4 linked regions of the Arabidopsis thaliana genome follow. The protein of the gene in region 1 purifies or fractionates together with the protein of each later gene. This does not show direct contact. Each region holds a gene or a part of one and is shown in the gene's direction. Other genes may lie near its edges.

The links.
Region 2: the proteins of GDH3 (region 1) and AT4G30910 fractionate together in Arabidopsis thaliana (co-fractionation; one large-scale study listed by BioGRID). This does not show direct contact.
Region 3: the proteins of GDH3 (region 1) and LAP1 fractionate together in Arabidopsis thaliana (co-fractionation; one large-scale study listed by BioGRID). This does not show direct contact.
Region 4: the proteins of GDH3 (region 1) and LAP2 fractionate together in Arabidopsis thaliana (co-fractionation; one large-scale study listed by BioGRID). This does not show direct contact.

What each region holds. Positions count from the first base shown.
Region 1 is NC_003074.8:1,005,140-1,009,554, forward strand, and holds GDH3 (glutamate dehydrogenase 3), read left to right. Parts: upstream 1-1,640; 5' UTR 1,641-1,773; coding exon 1,774-1,881; intron 1,882-1,979; coding exon 1,980-2,093; intron 2,094-2,177; coding exon 2,178-2,399; intron 2,400-2,481; coding exon 2,482-2,556; intron 2,557-2,659; coding exon 2,660-2,776; intron 2,777-2,850; coding exon 2,851-3,101; intron 3,102-3,185; coding exon 3,186-3,261; intron 3,262-3,347; coding exon 3,348-3,434; coding exon of another isoform or gene 3,435-3,467; intron 3,468-3,521; coding exon 3,522-3,707; 3' UTR 3,708-3,879; downstream 3,880-4,415. Other genes in the region: AT3G03920 (H/ACA ribonucleoprotein complex, subunit Gar1/Naf1 protein), read right to left, coding at 3,984-4,149, 4,344-4,415.
Region 2 is NC_003075.7:15,041,808-15,047,017, reverse strand, and holds AT4G30910 (Cytosol aminopeptidase family protein), read left to right. Parts: upstream 1-1,673; 5' UTR 1,674-1,769; coding exon 1,770-2,000; intron 2,001-2,182; coding exon 2,183-2,597; intron 2,598-2,690; coding exon 2,691-2,885; intron 2,886-2,996; coding exon 2,997-3,222; intron 3,223-3,312; coding exon 3,313-3,439; intron 3,440-3,514; coding exon 3,515-3,757; intron 3,758-3,842; coding exon 3,843-3,903; intron 3,904-3,986; coding exon 3,987-4,174; intron 4,175-4,268; coding exon 4,269-4,397; 3' UTR 4,398-4,661; downstream 4,662-5,210. Other genes in the region: LAP2 (Cytosol aminopeptidase family protein), read left to right, coding at 16-203, 298-429; AT4G30900 (DNAse I-like superfamily protein), read right to left, coding at 4,815-5,086, 5,173-5,210. UniProt on the Arabidopsis thaliana protein: Presumably involved in the processing and regular turnover of intracellular proteins. Catalyzes the removal of unsubstituted N-terminal amino acids from various peptides. Possesses Cys-Gly dipeptidase activity.
Region 3 is NC_003071.7:10,286,277-10,291,432, reverse strand, and holds LAP1 (Cytosol aminopeptidase family protein), read left to right. Parts: upstream 1-1,747; 5' UTR 1,748-1,982; coding exon 1,983-2,033; intron 2,034-2,158; coding exon 2,159-2,567; intron 2,568-2,662; coding exon 2,663-2,857; intron 2,858-2,953; coding exon 2,954-3,179; intron 3,180-3,282; coding exon 3,283-3,409; intron 3,410-3,486; coding exon 3,487-3,582; intron 3,583-3,666; coding exon 3,667-3,744; intron 3,745-3,835; coding exon 3,836-3,896; intron 3,897-3,995; coding exon 3,996-4,183; intron 4,184-4,284; coding exon 4,285-4,416; 3' UTR 4,417-4,627; downstream 4,628-5,156. Other genes in the region: AT2G24205 (ECA1 gametogenesis related family protein), read right to left, coding at 1-15; AT2G24195 (uncharacterized protein), read right to left, coding at 4,843-4,940. UniProt on the Arabidopsis thaliana protein: Presumably involved in the processing and regular turnover of intracellular proteins. Catalyzes the removal of unsubstituted N-terminal amino acids from various peptides.
Region 4 is NC_003075.7:15,045,957-15,051,441, reverse strand, and holds LAP2 (Cytosol aminopeptidase family protein), read left to right. Parts: upstream 1-2,003; 5' UTR 2,004-2,137; coding exon 2,138-2,371; intron 2,372-2,590; coding exon 2,591-3,005; intron 3,006-3,113; coding exon 3,114-3,308; intron 3,309-3,432; coding exon 3,433-3,658; intron 3,659-3,744; coding exon 3,745-3,871; intron 3,872-3,946; coding exon 3,947-4,042; intron 4,043-4,137; coding exon 4,138-4,215; intron 4,216-4,305; coding exon 4,306-4,366; intron 4,367-4,439; coding exon 4,440-4,627; intron 4,628-4,721; coding exon 4,722-4,853; 3' UTR 4,854-4,985; downstream 4,986-5,485. Other genes in the region: NFD1 (Ribosomal protein L21), read left to right, coding at 1-246, 331-411, 567-668, 961-1,035, 1,153-1,272. UniProt on the Arabidopsis thaliana protein: Presumably involved in the processing and regular turnover of intracellular proteins. Catalyzes the removal of unsubstituted N-terminal amino acids from various peptides.

The sequences.
Region 1 (4,415 bases):
AATGGCCTTTTATATTTGTTTGAGTTATTATTTTTCATTTATTAAAAAGTGATAGAAAGCTAATGCATAACGTTTTAAAAATACTAAATCCTTGACATTAGCTACCATGAACAGTATTCTTTAATGGGGTATTATTTCTGTATATATATTGGTTTGACCAAAGAATATAAAAAAATTGCTTCATTTAATTGTTATGCATTAGCTTTCTATCACTTTAATATTTTAAATACATGTTTAGCTTTTCGTAGTTTGTTGTTTATTAGGGAATGGCCTTTTAGGAGAAAGTCCAATTGGTTTTTTTTTTTTTTTTTTTTTTCATGTATTAAAAAGTGATAGAAAGCTAATGCATAACGTTTTAAAAATACTAAATCCTTGACATTAGCTACCAAGCCTACCATGAACCGGATTCTTTATTGGGGTATTATTTCTATATATTGGTTTGACCAAAGAGGGTGAGATCAAATTTGGAAACACTATTTACGGTCAATGTTGTTATTACGAAATTGATATCTTCTTTTGGAAATTGAAAGAGAAAGAAATCTTGGTGGAAATCCACAATAAATCAATTATATTAGTGGAAGCATAAATCATGGGGAATCTCTTTTCCAAAAAGATTCTTTCATGGTGGAATCTTGTAATTCTATATGTTTCTTGATTTGTTGCATCCTCTCGTGTCCTCCTCTAATTCCAAAAAGATTCTGATTTGAGTATCTAAAAAAACATATATCCGTAGAATCTTTTCAATTAAAACTGAATATTGTATGTGTGTGATAAGTTTATACGTTTTTTTCCCACTAGCTCACTAAAGTGTATACGTTTTTTTTTGTCACCCTCTCACAAAAGTGTATACGCTATGCCTATATGTGTAGGGGCAAGTAGAATTGAATAAGTTAATAACACGTAAAGATCTTATGACATGCAAGATTCATTTCGGGTCGTATATCACAAATATGTAAATGATTATTAATATATATATAATCGTAGATAATAAAACAAAAAAAAAGTATTATTATCGTCCCACATTAACGTATTACAATTTGACTATGATTTTTCATGCACGAGTATAGTCATCCGGTCCAATGCATGCTATTGCTAGATCATTATTGTATCATATTTTCTTATTTAAAAAAAAAAACAAATTCTGAAAAACAATATCTTGGTCCTTGCTTATTAGGTGGGTACTAATTAGGTAATACGAAATGTTATTTTTTCCTTTAATCTAGATTTAAAATGAATAAAATGACAGTGTGTGACACAATAAGATAAATTTTACGAGCTATCTCTTTCATCCATGTAATATTTATAATCTTGTGAAATCTTGATTTTTCCTATTTTTATTCTGATCTTTTTGTAATGAAAAGAATATATTTATTCTGCTTGATTAGTCTACGGATTTCCTTTTCATTAATGAATATTCCATTATTCTGATCTAGTTTATACACATGGTGAAGACATGGGCTATTTCTATAATCTATATATTTTTTTTGTGTGAGAACTTTGCTAAACAGACACATAGTATTCTGAATACTCAAAATCAGGATCAATTATGGGTATCATCTTATATGATTATTCATATTCCTTATATAAATTATCTTTTATTATAAATATAAATAACAAAATTTTCATTCTCATATTCCATAACACGAAGTGTGTACGTATCACTCTATATAAATAAACTTGCAATAACATAAGCAAGACTCACATTTTTCCAACTGTCTTCATATCAGACTCTCTGATCAAATAAACCCAAAATAAAGAAGAGAGAAGAAAGCCATGAATGCTTTAGCAGCAACCAACAGAAACTTCAAGCTTGCTTCTAGGCTTCTTGGTTTAGACTCAAAGCTCGAGAAAAGTCTTCTCATTCCCTTCAGAGAGATCAAGGTTCGATGTTTTCCTCTGTTTTCTTCTTCCATCTATAACAGATCTGCAGAACCGATCCGGTTCAAGATCATTTGAACGGAACTAACCAACTATTGCAGGTGGAATGTACCATACCAAAAGACGATGGAACTCTAGCATCCTTTGTTGGATTCAGAGTTCAACACGACAATGCAAGAGGTCCCATGAAAGGTGGAATCAGATATCATCCAGAGGTTTGTTTTACTCTGTTTTTTTTTCATCAAACCAAAACAAATTCAATATTGGCATGAAGTAAACCAGATTTCGGTAATCGACAGGTTGAACCGGATGAAGTAAACGCTTTGGCTCAACTTATGACATGGAAAACAGCAGTGGCTAAGATACCTTATGGAGGAGCCAAAGGAGGAATCGGTTGTGACCCGAGCGAGCTAAGTCTCTCAGAGCTCGAACGTTTGACTCGAGTTTTCACTCAGAAGATTCACGATCTTATTGGGATTCATACTGATGTTCCAGCTCCTGATATGGGAACCGGTCCTCAGGTTTCGAAAACATGATCTTGAAGTCTTCATCTTGTATTTTACGTGTTGTTCTTGTCTGAAATATAGTGATGAAAATTTTCAGACAATGGCTTGGATTCTTGATGAATACTCAAAATTCCATGGACATTCTCCTGCTGTTGTCACTGGAAAACCCATTGTAAGTGACCGTTCTAATCGCGGTTTTAGGTTGGTTCGGTTTATGTGTTCAACTAATCTAAAACTGAATGAGATTTGATTTTTGAGGATGATGTTTTGAGCAGGATCTTGGTGGATCTCTTGGGAGAGATGCTGCTACAGGAAGAGGAGTGTTGTTTGCAACAGAAGCTTTACTCAACGAACATGGAAAGACCATATCTGGACAGCGATTCGCCATCCAGGTAAAAGAAGTTACAATGTTTAGTCAGAGAGATTACTTCGGTGTCAGGGTACTCATACTGTCTCTGCGTTTTAGGGCTTTGGAAATGTGGGTTCTTGGGCAGCGAAGTTGATAAGTGACAAAGGTGGTAAGATTGTGGCGGTGAGTGATGTCACAGGAGCAATCAAGAACAATAATGGAATTGACATCTTGAGTTTGCTCGAGCATGCTGAAGAAAACAGAGGAATCAAAGGGTTTGATGGTGCTGATTCAATCGATCCTGATTCGATTCTTGTCGAAGATTGTGATATTCTTGTCCCTGCAGCTCTAGGGGGAGTCATCAACAGGTCTTTTATAGTTTCTTGTCTCAAAAATATTAATCTATTCTCTATCATGATTTCCTCTAAACCTCTGGCTTTGGTCTGTTTTAGGGAAAATGCAAACGAAATAAAAGCCAAATTCATCATTGAAGGTGCTAATCACCCAACTGATCCTGAGGCTGACGAGGTTATTCGAAAATCTGATACTTTGTTTTTGCTCTTTCTTCTTCTCAAACTCGCGTAACAGAAACTCTGTAATATCTGTCTCCGCAGATCTTGAAGAAGAAAGGTGTTATGATCCTCCCAGATATATACGCAAACTCAGGAGGAGTCACTGTAAGTTACTTCGAGTGGGTTCAGGTAAGACTCGAAAATCAAGACTGTATGACCTAATCGAATCTAAAGCCACTCGATCAAAACACTGATTTGTGTTATATCTGTGTGAAGAACATACAAGGATTCATGTGGGATGAGGAAAAGGTGAATAGGGAGCTAAAGACCTACATGACTCGCGGGTTCAAAGACTTGAAAGAAATGTGTCAGACGCACTCATGTGATCTCCGTATGGGAGCTTTCACCCTCGGTATTAATCGTGTCGCTCAAGCTACCACTATCAGAGGCTGGGGTTCTTGATACCCCCCCATGGGAAGCTAAAGAACAAGAATTCAGAAAATCTTTCTATGTTGTTGATTTGCTTTGTGATTTGAGTCAATTCTAGAGTAATAAAAACTATGTGCTAATTGCAGTTTAACCTTCTCAAATTTTCTATCAACGAATCTAATTTGATGCAAATATTTTTACTCCATAGATAAAACCAAAGTCTTGAAAATTGAGAATACGGGAGAACGATAGTCATTCATAAAACAAAGGGTACAAGTTTGGATAAGGCTTATAAAGCAGGAGAAGAACCTAAAATCTTCCTCGGCCTCTAAAGCTTCCACGAGAGCCACCGCGTGGTGGAAATCTACCACCTCTTGGAGCACCTCTACCTCTACTAAATGATCCACCTCTTCCACGACCTCTACTATCACCTCTTCCACGACCTGCACCTCCACGTCCACCCGTTGACTGACCCCTGGAAGAACAAAGACACGCAGTTAGATGGAGTTTGATACAATTAACAACTCTCAACTAATAGTGTATCTAAAGTCTCGATTGTTAAGAGGAAAAAGCTAATTGCTAAAGTTAAACGAGCTCACTAATGTTATTTCAAGTTCAGGAAAAGAAACTTATATATTGACCAATGATGTGTTAAGAAGTGGGGCTTACTTTGGCTGAGGAAGGAATCGAGCGAGTGGCAAAAGCTTGTAAGGGTCGATGAAGAACTTATCTCCTGGAGAA
Region 2 (5,210 bases), on another chromosome or scaffold:
TTGGTTTTTCTGCAGGCATATATACACCTAGTGATAAGCTTGCAAAGGAGGTGATTGCTGCATCAGAGAGGAGTGGAGAGAAGTTATGGAGAATGCCTATGGAAGAGAGTTACTGGGAGATGATGAAGTCAGGTGTTGCAGATATGGTTAACACTGGAGGCCGTGCAGGTGGATCCATTACCGCGGCTCTTTTCTTGAAACAGGTGAGTATATCATAAGAGTGGAAACAAAAGAACACATTTCAATACTGACGCTATTGTTCTCTAACGAAGAACCGGGTTTGGTTAATGGTTGCAGTTTGTGAGCGAGGATGTTGAGTGGATGCACATAGATATGGCTGGACCAGTGTGGAACGAGAAGAAGAAAGCTGCAACTGGGTTTGGAGTTGCGACACTAGTTGAGTGGGTACAGAACCATTCTTCTTCTTAAGATGAAGTCTGGTGATCTCTGACTGATGTGAACTAGTTGTGTTTTTGCTTTGTGTGGTGGGACAAGTTTTTTTTTTTTGTGCAACTAAGTATGACAAGTTAAATCAATCAGAAGATTAGTTTTGTTGTTGTATGCTTACCTAGTCTAAACTTAAATTCAACAACCACCGTGAGAGACACAGTTGAGCCACCGTTGTTGCTGTGTCCCGTCATGTTGTTGTATTTGAATGGGTCCGTGAGTTGTTGAGAAGGAGAGATAGTCGCCGTTCATCACCACTACAGCCACCGTGTGTCACCGGAGAGTGACACCACGAGTCACAGGATGTCAACCGCTGTCACCGGAGTAGTCGTAGTCCATCGCCAAGGCCGTTAAGGGTAAGGAAACCCTAGATCTATTATGTAACTTGCTCAGGAAGTTTTTGGCTTTCTCTTATGATCTGTGCTTTGTTTTGGTTTTGATTGTTGAGCTATGAGACCTTACTGCCGTGAGCTTAAACCGCCTCATCGAGCCCCGAGCAGATCCACCGAGAGTAATCGCCGAGAAAGGTAACGGCGAACCTTATCTCCCGTGTTTGTTGTTGATTATTGAACCGGATCTTAACCAGTCTAAACCAATGACTCTTAATTTAGTTAAGACCAGAACCGAAACCAATGACAATTTGCGTTGTTGGTGTATTATTACGTCTGTGTGGTGTAACTAGATTATAAGAATTTGGTTTGGTTTAATTATTAAACCAAGTCTAATTAATTTAATTGGAAGAATACCAAATCAATTAATCGAGATTTCTAAATTTGGTTTGGTTATTAGATTAAATCATGTATTTTTAATTGGATTTCACCTATTGATCCACAAATGAGTTACAAAAGTGATAATACTGACGTGTTTTTCAATTTCTTTTATCACTTCGTGTAAGAATGCCTTGAAATATTTGAATTTCTATAAATAGTATCAAAACTATGTTTTGTATAAACAACTTTAAATTTGAAGGCAACAAATAACAGTAGTAAGTATTTCAGATATGGTTATCAAGATAAGTTTAGTAATAGTGAAACATGATCACATTAAAATTTGAAAAGAAGTCTACAGCTAATCAAGATTGTTAAGATCGGGTCGGATAATAGCAATAGTGAGTGAGTCAAGTAAAAGAATAATCATCGTCAACAAGACACGACGGTCGGACGCGGGCGGACGCAAGAAGAGACTGGGCCACTCTAATTTTCTAAGATAACTCTAATTTCATACTATATATATATATATATATATATATGTCTGCATCAGCCACTCTGTTCTTCTCCTTATAAATAAATATAAAGAAGCTAAGCTCAGTGGAGACTTCTCAAATGGCGGTCACTTTGGTAACGTCATGTGCTTCTTCTTCTCGCTTCCATTTCCGCTCTTTCTCCTCTTCTCCGTCGTCTCTCTCCTCTTGTTTCGTACGATTCCAGTTGCTGTCTCGCCTTAGAGTCTCTTTCGCCATCACGCCTCTCTACTGCTCTTCTAAAGCCACGGCTCATACAATCGCACACGCTACTCTTGGCCTTACTCAGGCCAACTCCGTCGATCATCCTAAGGTTTGACTTTGCTGTTATGTGTTTAAACTCGATACTAGTGAATGCTTTGTAGATTCGTCGCTTTACTGTTTCCGATTAAGATGATCCACTGATTTGCTTACTTCGATTATGGTCAAGTCTTGTCAGAGATTAGCTTTCCAGATGCTTAACTGGATTCTGATTACTCGAGTTTTCTGTATCAGATCTCATTTTCCGGGAAGGAGATTGACGTGACTGAATGGAAAGGTGATATACTCGCTGTTGGAGTGACGGAGAAAGATATGGCTAAGGATGCCAACTCCAAGTTCGAGAACCCCATACTGAAGAAGCTTGATGCCCACTTGGGTGGACTTCTAGCTGATGTCTCGGCTGAGGAAGATTTTTCTGGGAAACCTGGCCAGTCAACAGTTCTTAGGCTTCCGGGTCTCGGCTCAAAGCGGGTCGGTTTGATTGGTCTTGGAAAATCTGCTTCAACCCCTTCGGCTTTTCAGAGTCTTGGTGAGGCTGTTGCTGCAGCTGCTAAAGCTTCTCAAGCTAGCAGTGTTGCAGTTGTTCTCGCCTCCTCTGAGAGTTTTTCTGATGAATCTAAGCTCAGTTCTGCTTCAGATATAGCTTCAGGTTGTGATTTCTTTTAGTAAACCTTGAGAAGTGCTTGTTTCATTACCATTTTTGAACTGATCCTTTTGTGGAATCGTTTTTTACTTTTGACAGGCACAGTGCTTGGTTTGTTTGAAGACAGTCGGTATAAGTCTGAGTCAAAGAAACCATCTCTCAAATCTGTAGTATTCATTGGCTTTGGCACTGGACCTGAACTAGAGAACAAGCTTAAGTATGCTGAACATGTTTCTTATGGCGTAATTTTCACGAAAGAACTTGTTAATTCACCAGCCAATGTTCTCTCCCCTGGTATGGATTATAATCATACTCTTAGACTTCTCATGTTTTTTATAATGTGAGCATCATGTCTATTGAAGTTTATTTCAAACATTTGACTCTAATCTGCTTTGTATCTTACAGCCGTACTAGCTGAGGAAGCCTCGAATCTGGCTTCCATGTACAGTAATGTCATGACTGCAAACATCTTGAAAGAGGAGCAATGCAAAGAATTGAAGATGGGTTCATATCTTGCTGTAGCTGCTGCTTCAGCTAATCCACCTCATTTCATCCACCTTATCTACAAACCTTCTAGTGGCCCTGTTAAAACCAAACTTGCTCTTGTTGGAAAAGGATTGACATTTGACAGGTACTCGCAAGAGCTGTTGTCTTCTGTTTGCCGCATCAATCTCTTTCTTTTATACTTATTGGTTATTGACCATCTGGTTTTTGTTCACAGCGGTGGCTACAACATTAAAATTGGGCCTGAATTAATAATTGAGCTCATGAAAATCGATGTGGGAGGTTCAGCTGCTGTTCTTGGCGCTGCAAAAGCCATTGGTGAAATTAAGCCTCCCGGTGTTGAGGTAAGTTTATCACACGGAGCTTGAGTTTCTGAGTTAAGTGAATGTACCTGAACAAATGCTTCTTTGCACAATTAGGTGCACTTTATTGTCGCAGCTTGTGAGAATATGATAAGTGGTACCGGAATGAGACCTGGAGATGTCATCACAGCCTCAAACGGGAAGACAATTGAGGTATCATTACACCGTTTCCATATGAATTCAGCTTCGAAAGGTTCAAGCTTTCCATTGTTAGTGTTGCAGGTCAACGACACCGATTCTGAAGGTCGGCTAACACTTGCAGATGCTCTAGTTTATGCTTGCAACCAGGGTGTCGATAAGGTATTGTTTCAAAGATTCTTCCCCTTATCAATAACATTCTTTCTGCTGGGTTTTCTCTCAACTTGTGAATCATATATATTTGCAGATTGTTGACATTGCAACATTGACCGGGGAGATTATTGTTGCTCTTGGACCATCAATGGCAGGTACATAGTCTTGTGTATAAAATAGACAGAATGACATTCTTTCGTGATGATTGAATATTGGTTTCGATTTTTGATTTCTGCAGGCATGTACACAGCTAGTGATGAGCTTGCCAAGGAGGTAATTGCTGCATCACAGAGGAGTGGAGAGAAGTTATGGAGAATGCCTATGGAAGAGAGTTATTGGGAGATGATGAAGTCAGGTGTTGCAGATATGGTTAACTTTGGAGGCCGTGCAGGTGGATCCATCACCGCAGCTCTCTTTTTGAAACGGGTGAGGATACCATAAGAGTGGAAACAAAAAAACACACTTCAATACTGATTCTATTGTTCTCTAACGAAGAACCGGATTTGGTTAATGGTTGCAGTTTGTTAGCGAGAATGTTGAGTGGTTGCACATAGATATGGCTGGACGGGTGTGGAACGAGAAGAAGAAAGCTGCGACTGGGTTTGGAGTTGCGACACTTGTTGAGTGGGTACAGAACAATTCTTCTTAAGATGTAGGCAGGTGATCTTTGTGCTCCCAGTTCTTATTTAACATTCTCAGAGGTTTTAATGTAGGTAAAAGGGTTTTTATTTGCTTGTGTGAACTGTGAAGTGTGACGCTTGAATATGACGAGTTACCCATTTGAAAGTATTTGACTATTTGTAGATATTCTTGTGTTCCGTAACATCACTTACCTAATAACACAAACTATTAGGAGCACAAGATGAAGGATACAAGTCGTCAATCTTATGTTTCAGTGGTCATCAATAATAACACAAACTATTAGGAGCAAACAAAACAATTTATTTAAATCTCTTTTGAATATGTTTTAGCTCAAATCAATAAATAAAGGCGCCGAGAAAAAAACAGAGCTCATTTGCACAACAATCAGTATAGTCCAAAGCTTAAGCAAGTGAGGACATGTGTTCTAGCTTTCCTCTTGAGCAGGAGCAGAAACAGGAGGAGTAGGTTCAAGCATTCTTACAGAACGAGGAAGCATAAACTCAGCAAACACAGGGTAGTGAGATGAAGGATACAAGTCGTCAATCTTATCATTTACGATCTCGCACATTACAGGAACTATAGATCTACCTCTGTAAAGTATCCAATCCGTGTGTAGATCTTGCGTCTGTCGGTCCCAGCAGAGGCATAACGCTCTGAATATCAGCTTCAGGAACTCGACCGTTCCCTGCTTGTCACCTGAACAAAGGCCCAACATGTTATGATCTAGAAGCTTTGGAGATAAATGATTTTTATAGCTCATGAGAGGGTGGAATGTTTCACACCTTTGAAATCATGGTATGTTCTTATGAGAGCGACGTTT
Region 3 (5,156 bases), on another chromosome or scaffold:
ATTCTTTATCGTCATGATATATATTCTTATGGCAAAACAAAAGAAAAATTAAAATATTCTGATGTGTGATTCTTTTTCAAGTTTGTAACTGGGTGATGAAAATAACATGGGATTATTGTCTGATTTATATGAAAGAAATGAAGAACTGGCTTTAATTATCTTTAATGAAACTCGTTCGAGTATTTATTTGCCTATTTGGTAATTAATTTGCGGTTTCCAACATTGAAAAAGAGTTGAAAATGTAACGATTGTCTTTCAAAAAACGCATTATGAAAATGGAACCATGTCCATGTTAATATCACTCTCACCATTCTTAGTGTTATTAACTAATATATATTATGGAAGAGTTTTCTGTTCTCTTAATGTGTACATATCATCATGGTAAACATCCAATCAAACAAAGCCATGTCACCATTTTTTTTTTTTAACACTAAATTATAATTACAATGTTCATTTAATAAATATTTATTTCTATTAATATTAATTATTAACAAAAAACTAATAAAATAAAAAATGATTTTAAAATAGTAAAAGTCATAATGTGAAATTTTATTAGTAACAATAATATTATTAAAATTTTAACATAAACACAATTAAAAATGATCATACTTCAAAATACAAAAGAAAAAAAGAAGACAAAATTCAGAAAAAGAATCAAAAGATACATATGACATGTGAACAAATGGGTAGATTAGTATATATTACATGTTATACACATAATCATGTAGTCAACTTTTTTTAAGTTAGTTATTGAATTATTAAATTTTTATGGTCATACAGCCTAATTTCTCATGTATCAATTAGACCATTGTCGACAAAACAAAATAGAAAAAATAGTTGAATTGATTAGGCTCCATGTTTGACTGGTACGCCGTGTACTTGTCAATGTTCCGGACGGCGAATAGTATTTTTGATATTAGGAAATGGGGTTTACCTTCAAAATATTGGTGTGGACGGATTTGTGGATACTTGATCAGATATCAAAGGCGGCACAAAATGACCAACGATCGACGAAACAGTGCCCAAAATCAGAGTCAGAAGTGACTAGCTCGATAGCATGATCGATGCCCTTTCACCCATTTAAACCATTCCACCTAGAACACTTCAACACGACTGAAGCTAAAACTTTTGCATATCTCATAGAGATATGTTTGATAAGGTTGCTGAAAATAACAACTTCTACTATAATTTTGTCTTTTATTATTTCGACCTTCTCTTAAGAAATTCGCCCAAAAAAATTTCCAAATCAAAAAGTTGTTATTATCCTAACAGATCTTAAATTATATGTTTCGATTTTCGGTTATATACTGGTAAAATCTGAAATCCGAACATTAAAAAAAAATTGAAACCCAAACGGATACTCAAAAACACCTACAACCCAACCATTATACCAAAAAATAAAATCCAAACGTAAACCCAAAAAACACAAAACAATATATACACATATTTTTGGATTTTAAGGATCATTTGGAGCGTTTTTCTATATACATCGTTTAGGTTTTTGGAGTTTTTCGATTCAAAAATCGAATCAGAACATATTTCGATTCTATGGTCGCATTTTTTTTTTTTCGAGAACCATTCCGAACCCGTATAAATCCAAAACGAACCGATCGAAACATATTCAGTACCTTCCGAAATCTCCCTATCTAAAAAATCCAAAACCATGTCTTACCCTACAAATCCAAAACCCGAATTACCCTAATAAAATCCGATTCAAAGTCCGAATGTCTAAAAAATCCAAAACCCTATTTTACCCTACAAATCCAAAACCCGAATTATCGTAATAAAATCCAATCCGAAGTCCGAATGTTCAAGCCTAATTGAGCTACTCACTAACACACATCACACATGTGTAAATCACACCTAACTTCTCCTTCTATATATACGCCTTTGAAAGACCAATCCTAACTTTTCATTGTTTACTCTTTCGTCTTCCTTTTCAGAGTTCAATCACACAACACCTCTCTTCAATAGCAATAACCATGGCTCACACTCTCGGTCTCACTCAACCCAACTCCACTGAGCCTCACAAGGTTTGTTTCCTTCACTGTGATTTTGAAATGATTTTGTATGGAATCCAGTTTTGATTTAGTTCAAAGTTTTGATTTTTTGATTGATTCGAGTTTGAAGTTTTGATCTTTTGGTGACGATTATGCAGATCTCGTTCACTGCGAAGGAGATCGATGTAATTGAATGGAAAGGAGACATACTCGTAGTTGGTGTGACAGAGAAGGACTTAGCCAAAGACGGTAACTCAAAGTTTGAGAATCCGATCTTGAGCAAGGTCGATGCTCACTTAAGTGGACTTTTAGCTCAAGTCTCTTCCGAGGAAGATTTCACTGGGAAACCTGGTCAATCGACTGTTCTCAGGCTTCCGGGTTTAGGATCAAAGAGAATCGCTTTGATCGGTCTTGGACAGTCTGTTTCGTCTCCGGTGGCTTTTCATAGCCTTGGTGAAGCTGTAGCTACAGTTTCAAAAGCTTCTCAATCTACTAGTGCTGCTATTGTGCTTGCTTCAAGTGTTTCTGATGAATCTAAGCTTAGTTCTGTATCAGCTTTAGCTTCAGGTAACTTCAATTAGTATAACACAAGTTCGAGTCTTGTTTAGTACTGTTTTGGAAATTGGAACTGATTTGGGGTCTCATTGTTTATTTTTGGATAGGCATAGTACTTGGTTTATTTGAAGATGGTAGGTATAAGTCTGAATCAAAGAAACCATCTTTGAAAGCTGTTGATATTATTGGATTTGGAACTGGGGCTGAGGTAGAAAAGAAGCTGAAGTATGCTGAAGATGTTTCTTACGGTGTAATTTTCGGGAGAGAGCTCATTAATTCTCCTGCCAATGTGCTTACTCCTGGTATGAATTGTTGTCATTTATGAAATCAAATATTTTCGTGTTTGTGTGGTGTTCGCTGAGTTTTCCTAAACTGCTTTGATTTTTGTATCGTTTCAGCTGTACTAGCTGAGGAAGCAGCAAAGGTGGCTTCTACGTACAGTGATGTCTTCACTGCAAACATCTTGAACGAAGAGCAATGCAAAGAGTTGAAGATGGGTTCTTACCTAGCTGTTGCTGCTGCGTCGGCTAATCCTCCTCACTTCATCCACCTTGTCTATAAACCTCCGAATGGCTCTGTTAAGACCAAACTTGCTCTTGTTGGAAAAGGATTGACCTTTGACAGGTAACTAATCATTCTGTATTGCTTTGAATTTTACTCTGTTACGAGCTGGTATCTTTTCTTTGTTATTTTAGTGGTTGTTGATTTGAATATCTTGTGTACACAGTGGTGGCTACAACATTAAGACTGGACCTGGCTGCTCAATTGAGCTCATGAAATTCGACATGGGCGGTTCAGCTGCTGTTCTTGGCGCTGCGAAAGCTATTGGTGAGATTAAGCCTCCTGGTGTTGAGGTTAGTTTCTCCCATCAGATTCTTTTGAAAGCTATAGTTTGTTAACCGAACTGAACAGATTCGTCTTCCACAACCAGGTTCATTTCATCGTTGCAGCCTGTGAAAATATGATTAGTGGAACCGGAATGAGACCTGGAGATGTCATCACTGCCTCAAACGGAAAGACCATTGAGGTATCTGATGATTTTTTCCCCCTCAGAGTTGAGCTTTTACTGTTTTTCCTATGAAATGCTAATTGTTGGCGATGGTGTGTGTAGGTCAACAACACAGATGCTGAAGGTCGTCTAACACTCGCAGATGCTCTAGTGTATGCTTGTAACCAAGGCGTCGACAAGGTATTGCATTACTTTATTGATATGAGAAGCTAAAGGAGCTTGTTTCTGTTAAATTTATCCTTTCAGTTAAACATTGTCAAATATCTTGCAGATTGTTGACCTCGCTACTTTGACCGGGGCCTGTGTTATTGCTCTTGGAACTTCAATGGCAGGTACACAGCTCAAAAACCCTGCAGAAAAACTCAATCTTTGTGTCGTTTTTGAGTCCAAAATTGGCTCATGATGATCATTCTGTGTTCATTACTTGATAGGAATCTATACACCTAGCGACGAGCTTGCAAAGGAAGTGATTGCTGCATCAGAAAGGAGTGGAGAGAAGCTGTGGAGGATGCCACTGGAAGAGAGCTATTGGGAGATGATGAAGTCTGGAGTGGCTGATATGGTCAACACAGGCGGGCGGGCAGGAGGATCCATCACCGCGGCTCTCTTCTTGAAACAGGTGAAAACAAAGTCCCTTTAGAGGCTATACATACATGTTTTTGACAAAAAATTCGTCGGTGAAAGTAACTAAACCATCCTCTATTTTCTGTGGTATGGCAGTTTGTGAGTGAGAAGGTGCAATGGATGCATATCGACATGGCTGGACCGGTGTGGAACGAGAAGAAGAAGTCTGGGACCGGGTTTGGTGTTGCTACGCTTGTTGAATGGGTACAGAAGAATTCATCTTCGTGAATGAAACCTAGAGAGCGTGAGGGAGAGACTGTAGAGTTTTTCGGGTGTTGAAATGATTGCTGGTTTTTAATAAGGTCTCAAAAGTTACTATGTTTTCAGATGTTCTTAACTTGTTATGAAAAGTAAAATCGTCAAAAGTTGAATAAAGTGGTACTTTGTTTTAGTCGTGCAAAAATACTGTCTGAAATTTCTACTTTTGAAGTCTTCAACATTGGGTTCTCCTTTTCATTACTTTTTTCGGTAACCACTTCAAATTTTATGAACCATAATGTCAAATGCAATAATTGAACATCTTTTGAAAAAAAAACAGCATATGAGTGGTTACAAAACATGACTTTTATCTATCATAAAATAAAATATTTTTTTGATAATATTTTGAAGTAACTATTCTACTTAATACTCCTTTTGTTCCTTAGTACTGATTTTCTAACCGGTTTGCCCAGGTCCACGCCTTGAAGCACTGGGAAGTACACGAACCTTCACATTGTTGAAGATCTTTTGATCCCAAACCCTGTTTCCTATTTCTTTCAAAACAGAAAAAAAAGAAGCAACAATTAACAAATCATTTCTGTTATGCCAGTTTATTGCTTACGTATCTAGAGGAACCAATCCAAATTGAAAAAGAACTGTATGTCCATACCGGAATAATTATTACAAAAGCCAAAAATGAAGAGATATTATTACAATGATTCAGTTTTAGTTTTCATATATAATGAGCAAATCGTAAATTCAAACTGCGA
Region 4 (5,485 bases), on another chromosome or scaffold:
CAAGATCGTTGTTTCTCTTCGAACACAAAGGATACTGATGAAGATGAAGAAAGCAGTGAAGGAGAGGATGATGATGAGGAGGAGGGGGAAGACTTTGAGGATTCGGCGGATATGGAAGTAGAAAGGGAATATTCACCGGCGGAGAAAGTGGAAGAGGCGGAGGAGATAGGGTACAAGGTGATGGGTCCTCTTAAACCTTCGGAGAGACTTTTCAAACCCTATGAACCAGTGTTTGCCATTGTTCAGGTCTCGTCTCTGTGCTATCTCAATTAATCCTTTAGTTTCATTTCTCACTCTCACTGATGCTGAGTGGTTATTTTTATCCTGTAGATTGGTTCGCATCAGTTTAAAGTTAGCAATGGGGACTCCATTTTCACCGAGAAGTTGAAATTCTGTGACATCAATGATAAGGTATGCTAGCTTCAAGCTCTTCTTCGTTAATCTTTGCTATTCTTCTCTCAAAGGGCTAGACTTTACCGTATCTCTCGTAAGAAGGACGAACCTTTGCATTTGTGTTTATGATTTATGATTGTTGCTAAAACCTTTCTCTTTATGTCCCTTTGCAGTTGGAACTAACCAAGGTTCTTCTATTGGGCTCGGCAAGCCAGACGATTATTGGTAGGCCTATTTTGCCAGATGCGACAGTTCATGCTGTAGTTGAAGAGCATGTAAGTGTCTCATTGACTTGCTTGGTGTTTTATAATACTAGTGAAGCTGTGCTTAAGAATAATTTACAATTGAAAAGAGGATAGATGAGAGTTTGCTTGCTGAATCCGGTGACTGAGAGAAACTAAATCAAACTGTCTGCTGATTAGTTTGTGAAAGTCTTGCAAGTCATTAGATTAGTGTTCATCTATCTCTACATCATCTGAATGTCTTGATTTAAGATGGGCTTGGAATGTAGAAGGATCTACTCATGTACCAGCATTACTCAACTAGTTTTTCCTTGATGCGTGACAGGCTTTGGATGAAAAAGTGCTCATTTTCAAAAAGAAACGAAGAAAGAATTATAGGAGAACGAGAGGACATCGACAGGTATACTTTATAACTCCTTGTTTAGATAGACAGTGTGTTTATTTCATCTTTGCCTTCTTCTAGTTCTTTCCACTGTGTTATGATTGTTGTTTTTGACCATTCAACACTTGTGTCCAGGAATTGACGAAGTTGAGAATAACCGATATACAAGGAATTGAAAAACCAGAACCGAAGATCGTCCATAAGCCTTCGAAAGAAGCTGTTACAGAACAGACGAAGGCTGAGCTAGTTGCTTAGAGATAAAATTTGCTTCTTTCTTTTTTGCTGATGCCGATACATTTGAAGTAAGTTAAATTATCACTTGCTGTTCACTAAGAACTAGATTTTAAAGTCGTTGAAATGATGAAAAGGCCTTCTTGGTAGTTAGTGGTAAGTAACTAGGCTCCTGAGATATGAAATGTGATTTGCCTTTCACTGTCTTGTTCTCCTTGCTCTTCATTTTGTATTTAAACTGGCTCATGCTTGTGGGAGCTGTTTGTTGCTTCTGTTTCAGAAATAAAGATTTGCGGAAACATCTCTCTCCTTATCTTCTCTATGCTTTGTACTTTGTACTGTACTACTGTGGTTTGGTTATGGTTTAATTTACTTCTTCATGCAAGTCTCGGTCACAGATATGAAACTGGTGGTAAATTGGTAATAACTGCAAGTCACATTACACTCAAAATCTCGATTTTTTCCACTATGACTCTTTAGATCAGGTGATTATTATTGTAACTATATATGGCAACCACTTCCTCATCAACAAATGATTCACAGAATTGATAGTACTTGGAACTGATTTATAATTTCTTTTATCAACATCGGAAAATCGTGTAAGAATGCCTTGAAATATTTGAATGTTTGTAAATAGTATCAAAACCATTGTTTGTATAAATATGTATAAAGAACTTAAACAAAAGCAATTTGGAGCCAAAGAGAATTATAAAGCTACACGAGTACGTAAGTCCATGGTTAAGATCGGGTCGGGTGGGGACGGGTTGGATAAAAGCAAACAATGAGTCAAGTAAAAGAAGAATCATCGTCAACAAGAGAGAGAGAGAGATAAGCACAAACGCGGCTTTTCTTCTCCTTATAAATAAGAGAAGCTCAGTGCGTTACTCAAATGGCCGTCACTTTGGTAACGTCCTTCGCTTCTTCGTCTTCTCGCTTCCATTTCCGCTCATTCTCCTCTTCTCCGTCGTCTCTCTCCTCTTGTTTCGTCCGATTCCAGTTCCCCTCTCGCCTTAGACTCGCTTTTGCCGTCACGCCTCTCTACTCTTCTTCTAGAGCCATGGCTCATACAATCTCACACGCTACTCTCGGCCTCACTCAGGCTAACTCCGTCGATCATCCTAAGGTTTGTTCCTGATCGCTTGCAGCATTATTCGATTTTGCTGTTATGTGTTTAAACTCGATACTAGTGAATGCTTTGTAGATTCGTCGCTTTACTGTTTCCGATTAAGATGATCCACTGATTTGCTGACTTCGATTATGGTCAAGTCTTGTCAGAGATTAGCTTTCGAGTTTGAATTTTTGTGGTTAATTGGATTCTGATTAGTCGAATTTGCTGTATCAGATCTCATTTTCGGGGAAGGAGATCGACGTGACGGAATGGAAAGGTGATATACTCGCTGTTGGAGTGACGGAGAAAGACATGGCTAAGGATGTGAACTCCAAGTTCGAAAACCCGATTCTGAAGAAGCTTGATGCTCACTTGGGTGGACTTTTAGCTGATGTCTCGTCTGAGGAAGATTTTTCTGGGAAACCTGGTCAGTCGACAGTTCTTAGGCTTCCGGGTCTTGGGTCTAAGCGAGTTGGTTTGATTGGTCTTGGAAAATCTGCTTCAACTCCTTCGGCTTTTCAGAGTCTCGGTGAGGCTGTTGCTGCAGCTGCTAAAGCTTCTCAAGCTAGCAGTGTTGCAGTTGTTCTCGCCTCCTCTGAGAGTGTTTCTAATGAATCTAAGCTCTGTTCTGCGTCAGCTATAGCTTCAGGTGTTTTATTTGTTGTTGTTGTGGTTTCGTCTATTAAAGCTCGAGAATGGTTGTTTCATTACCATTTTGGAACTGATCGTTATGTGGAATTGTTGTTTATTTTTACAGGCACAGTGCTTGGTTTGTTTGAAGACAGCCGGTATAAGTCTGAGTCGAAGAAACCATCACTCAAATCTGTAGATATCATTGGCTTTGGCTCTGGACCTGAACTAGAGAAGAAGCTTAAGTATGCTGAACATGTTTCTTATGGCGTTATTTTCGGGAAAGAACTCGTTAATTCTCCAGCCAATGTTCTCACTCCTGGTGAGGATTGTTTCTTGAGCATCAGTCTTAGACTTTTCATTTTTTTTTTTTTTAATAATGTGAGCATCATGTCTGTTGAAGTTTATTTCAAACATTTTTCTCTAATCTGCTTTGTATCTTACAGCCGTACTAGCTGAGGAAGCCTTGAATCTGGCTTCCATGTACAGTGATGTCATGACTGCCAACATCTTGAACGAGGAGCAATGCAAAGAGTTGAAGATGGGTTCATATCTTGCTGTAGCTGCTGCTTCAGCTAATCCACCTCATTTCATACATCTTATCTACAAACCTTCTAGTGGCCCTGTTAAAACAAAACTTGCTCTTGTTGGAAAAGGATTGACATTTGACAGGTACTAGAGCTGTTGGCTTCTGTTTGCCGCATCAATCTCTTTATTTAATACTTATTAGTTATTGACCAGATGGTTTTTGTTCACAGCGGTGGCTACAACATTAAAACCGGGCCTGGCTGCTTAATTGAGCTCATGAAATTCGATATGGGAGGTTCAGCTGCTGTTCTTGGCGCTGCAAAAGCCATTGGTCAAATTAAGCCTCCAGGTGTTGAGGTAAGTTTATCACACGGAGCTTGCGTTTCTGAGTTAAATGAATGTACCTAAACAAATGCTTCGTTGCACAATCAGGTGCACTTTATTGTCGCAGCTTGTGAGAATATGATAAGTGGTACTGGAATGAGACCTGGAGATGTCCTCACAGCCTCAAACGGAAAGACGATTGAGGTATCATAACACCGTTTCCATATGAATTCAGCTTCAAAAGGTTCGAGCTTTCCATTGTTAGTTTTACGCCAAACTAATTGTGGGTGGTATTGCAGGTCAACAACACCGATGCTGAAGGTCGACTAACACTTGCAGATGCTTTAGTTTATGCTTGCAACCAGGGTGTCGATAAGGTATTGTTTCAAAGATTCTTCGACTTATTAATACATTCTTTCTGTTGGTTTTTCTCTCAAGTCTCAACTTGTGAATTACAATATTTGCAGGTTGTTGACCTTGCAACATTGACTGGGGCTTGTATTATTGCTCTTGGAACATCAATGGCAGGTACATAGTCTTGTGTTTTAAATAAGACAGAATAAAATTCTTTCGTGATGGTTGACTATTGGTTTTTCTGCAGGCATATATACACCTAGTGATAAGCTTGCAAAGGAGGTGATTGCTGCATCAGAGAGGAGTGGAGAGAAGTTATGGAGAATGCCTATGGAAGAGAGTTACTGGGAGATGATGAAGTCAGGTGTTGCAGATATGGTTAACACTGGAGGCCGTGCAGGTGGATCCATTACCGCGGCTCTTTTCTTGAAACAGGTGAGTATATCATAAGAGTGGAAACAAAAGAACACATTTCAATACTGACGCTATTGTTCTCTAACGAAGAACCGGGTTTGGTTAATGGTTGCAGTTTGTGAGCGAGGATGTTGAGTGGATGCACATAGATATGGCTGGACCAGTGTGGAACGAGAAGAAGAAAGCTGCAACTGGGTTTGGAGTTGCGACACTAGTTGAGTGGGTACAGAACCATTCTTCTTCTTAAGATGAAGTCTGGTGATCTCTGACTGATGTGAACTAGTTGTGTTTTTGCTTTGTGTGGTGGGACAAGTTTTTTTTTTTTGTGCAACTAAGTATGACAAGTTAAATCAATCAGAAGATTAGTTTTGTTGTTGTATGCTTACCTAGTCTAAACTTAAATTCAACAACCACCGTGAGAGACACAGTTGAGCCACCGTTGTTGCTGTGTCCCGTCATGTTGTTGTATTTGAATGGGTCCGTGAGTTGTTGAGAAGGAGAGATAGTCGCCGTTCATCACCACTACAGCCACCGTGTGTCACCGGAGAGTGACACCACGAGTCACAGGATGTCAACCGCTGTCACCGGAGTAGTCGTAGTCCATCGCCAAGGCCGTTAAGGGTAAGGAAACCCTAGATCTATTATGTAACTTGCTCAGGAAGTTTTTGGCTTTCTCTTATGATCTGTGCTTTGTTTTGGTTTTGATTGTTGAGCTATGAGACCTTACTGCCGTGAGCTTAAACCGCCTCATCGAGCCCCGAGCAGATCCACCGAGAGTAATCGCCGAGAAAGGTAACGGCGAACCTTATCTCCCGTGTTTGTTGTTGATTATTGAACCGGATCTTAACCAGTCTAAACCAATGACTCTTAATTTAGTTA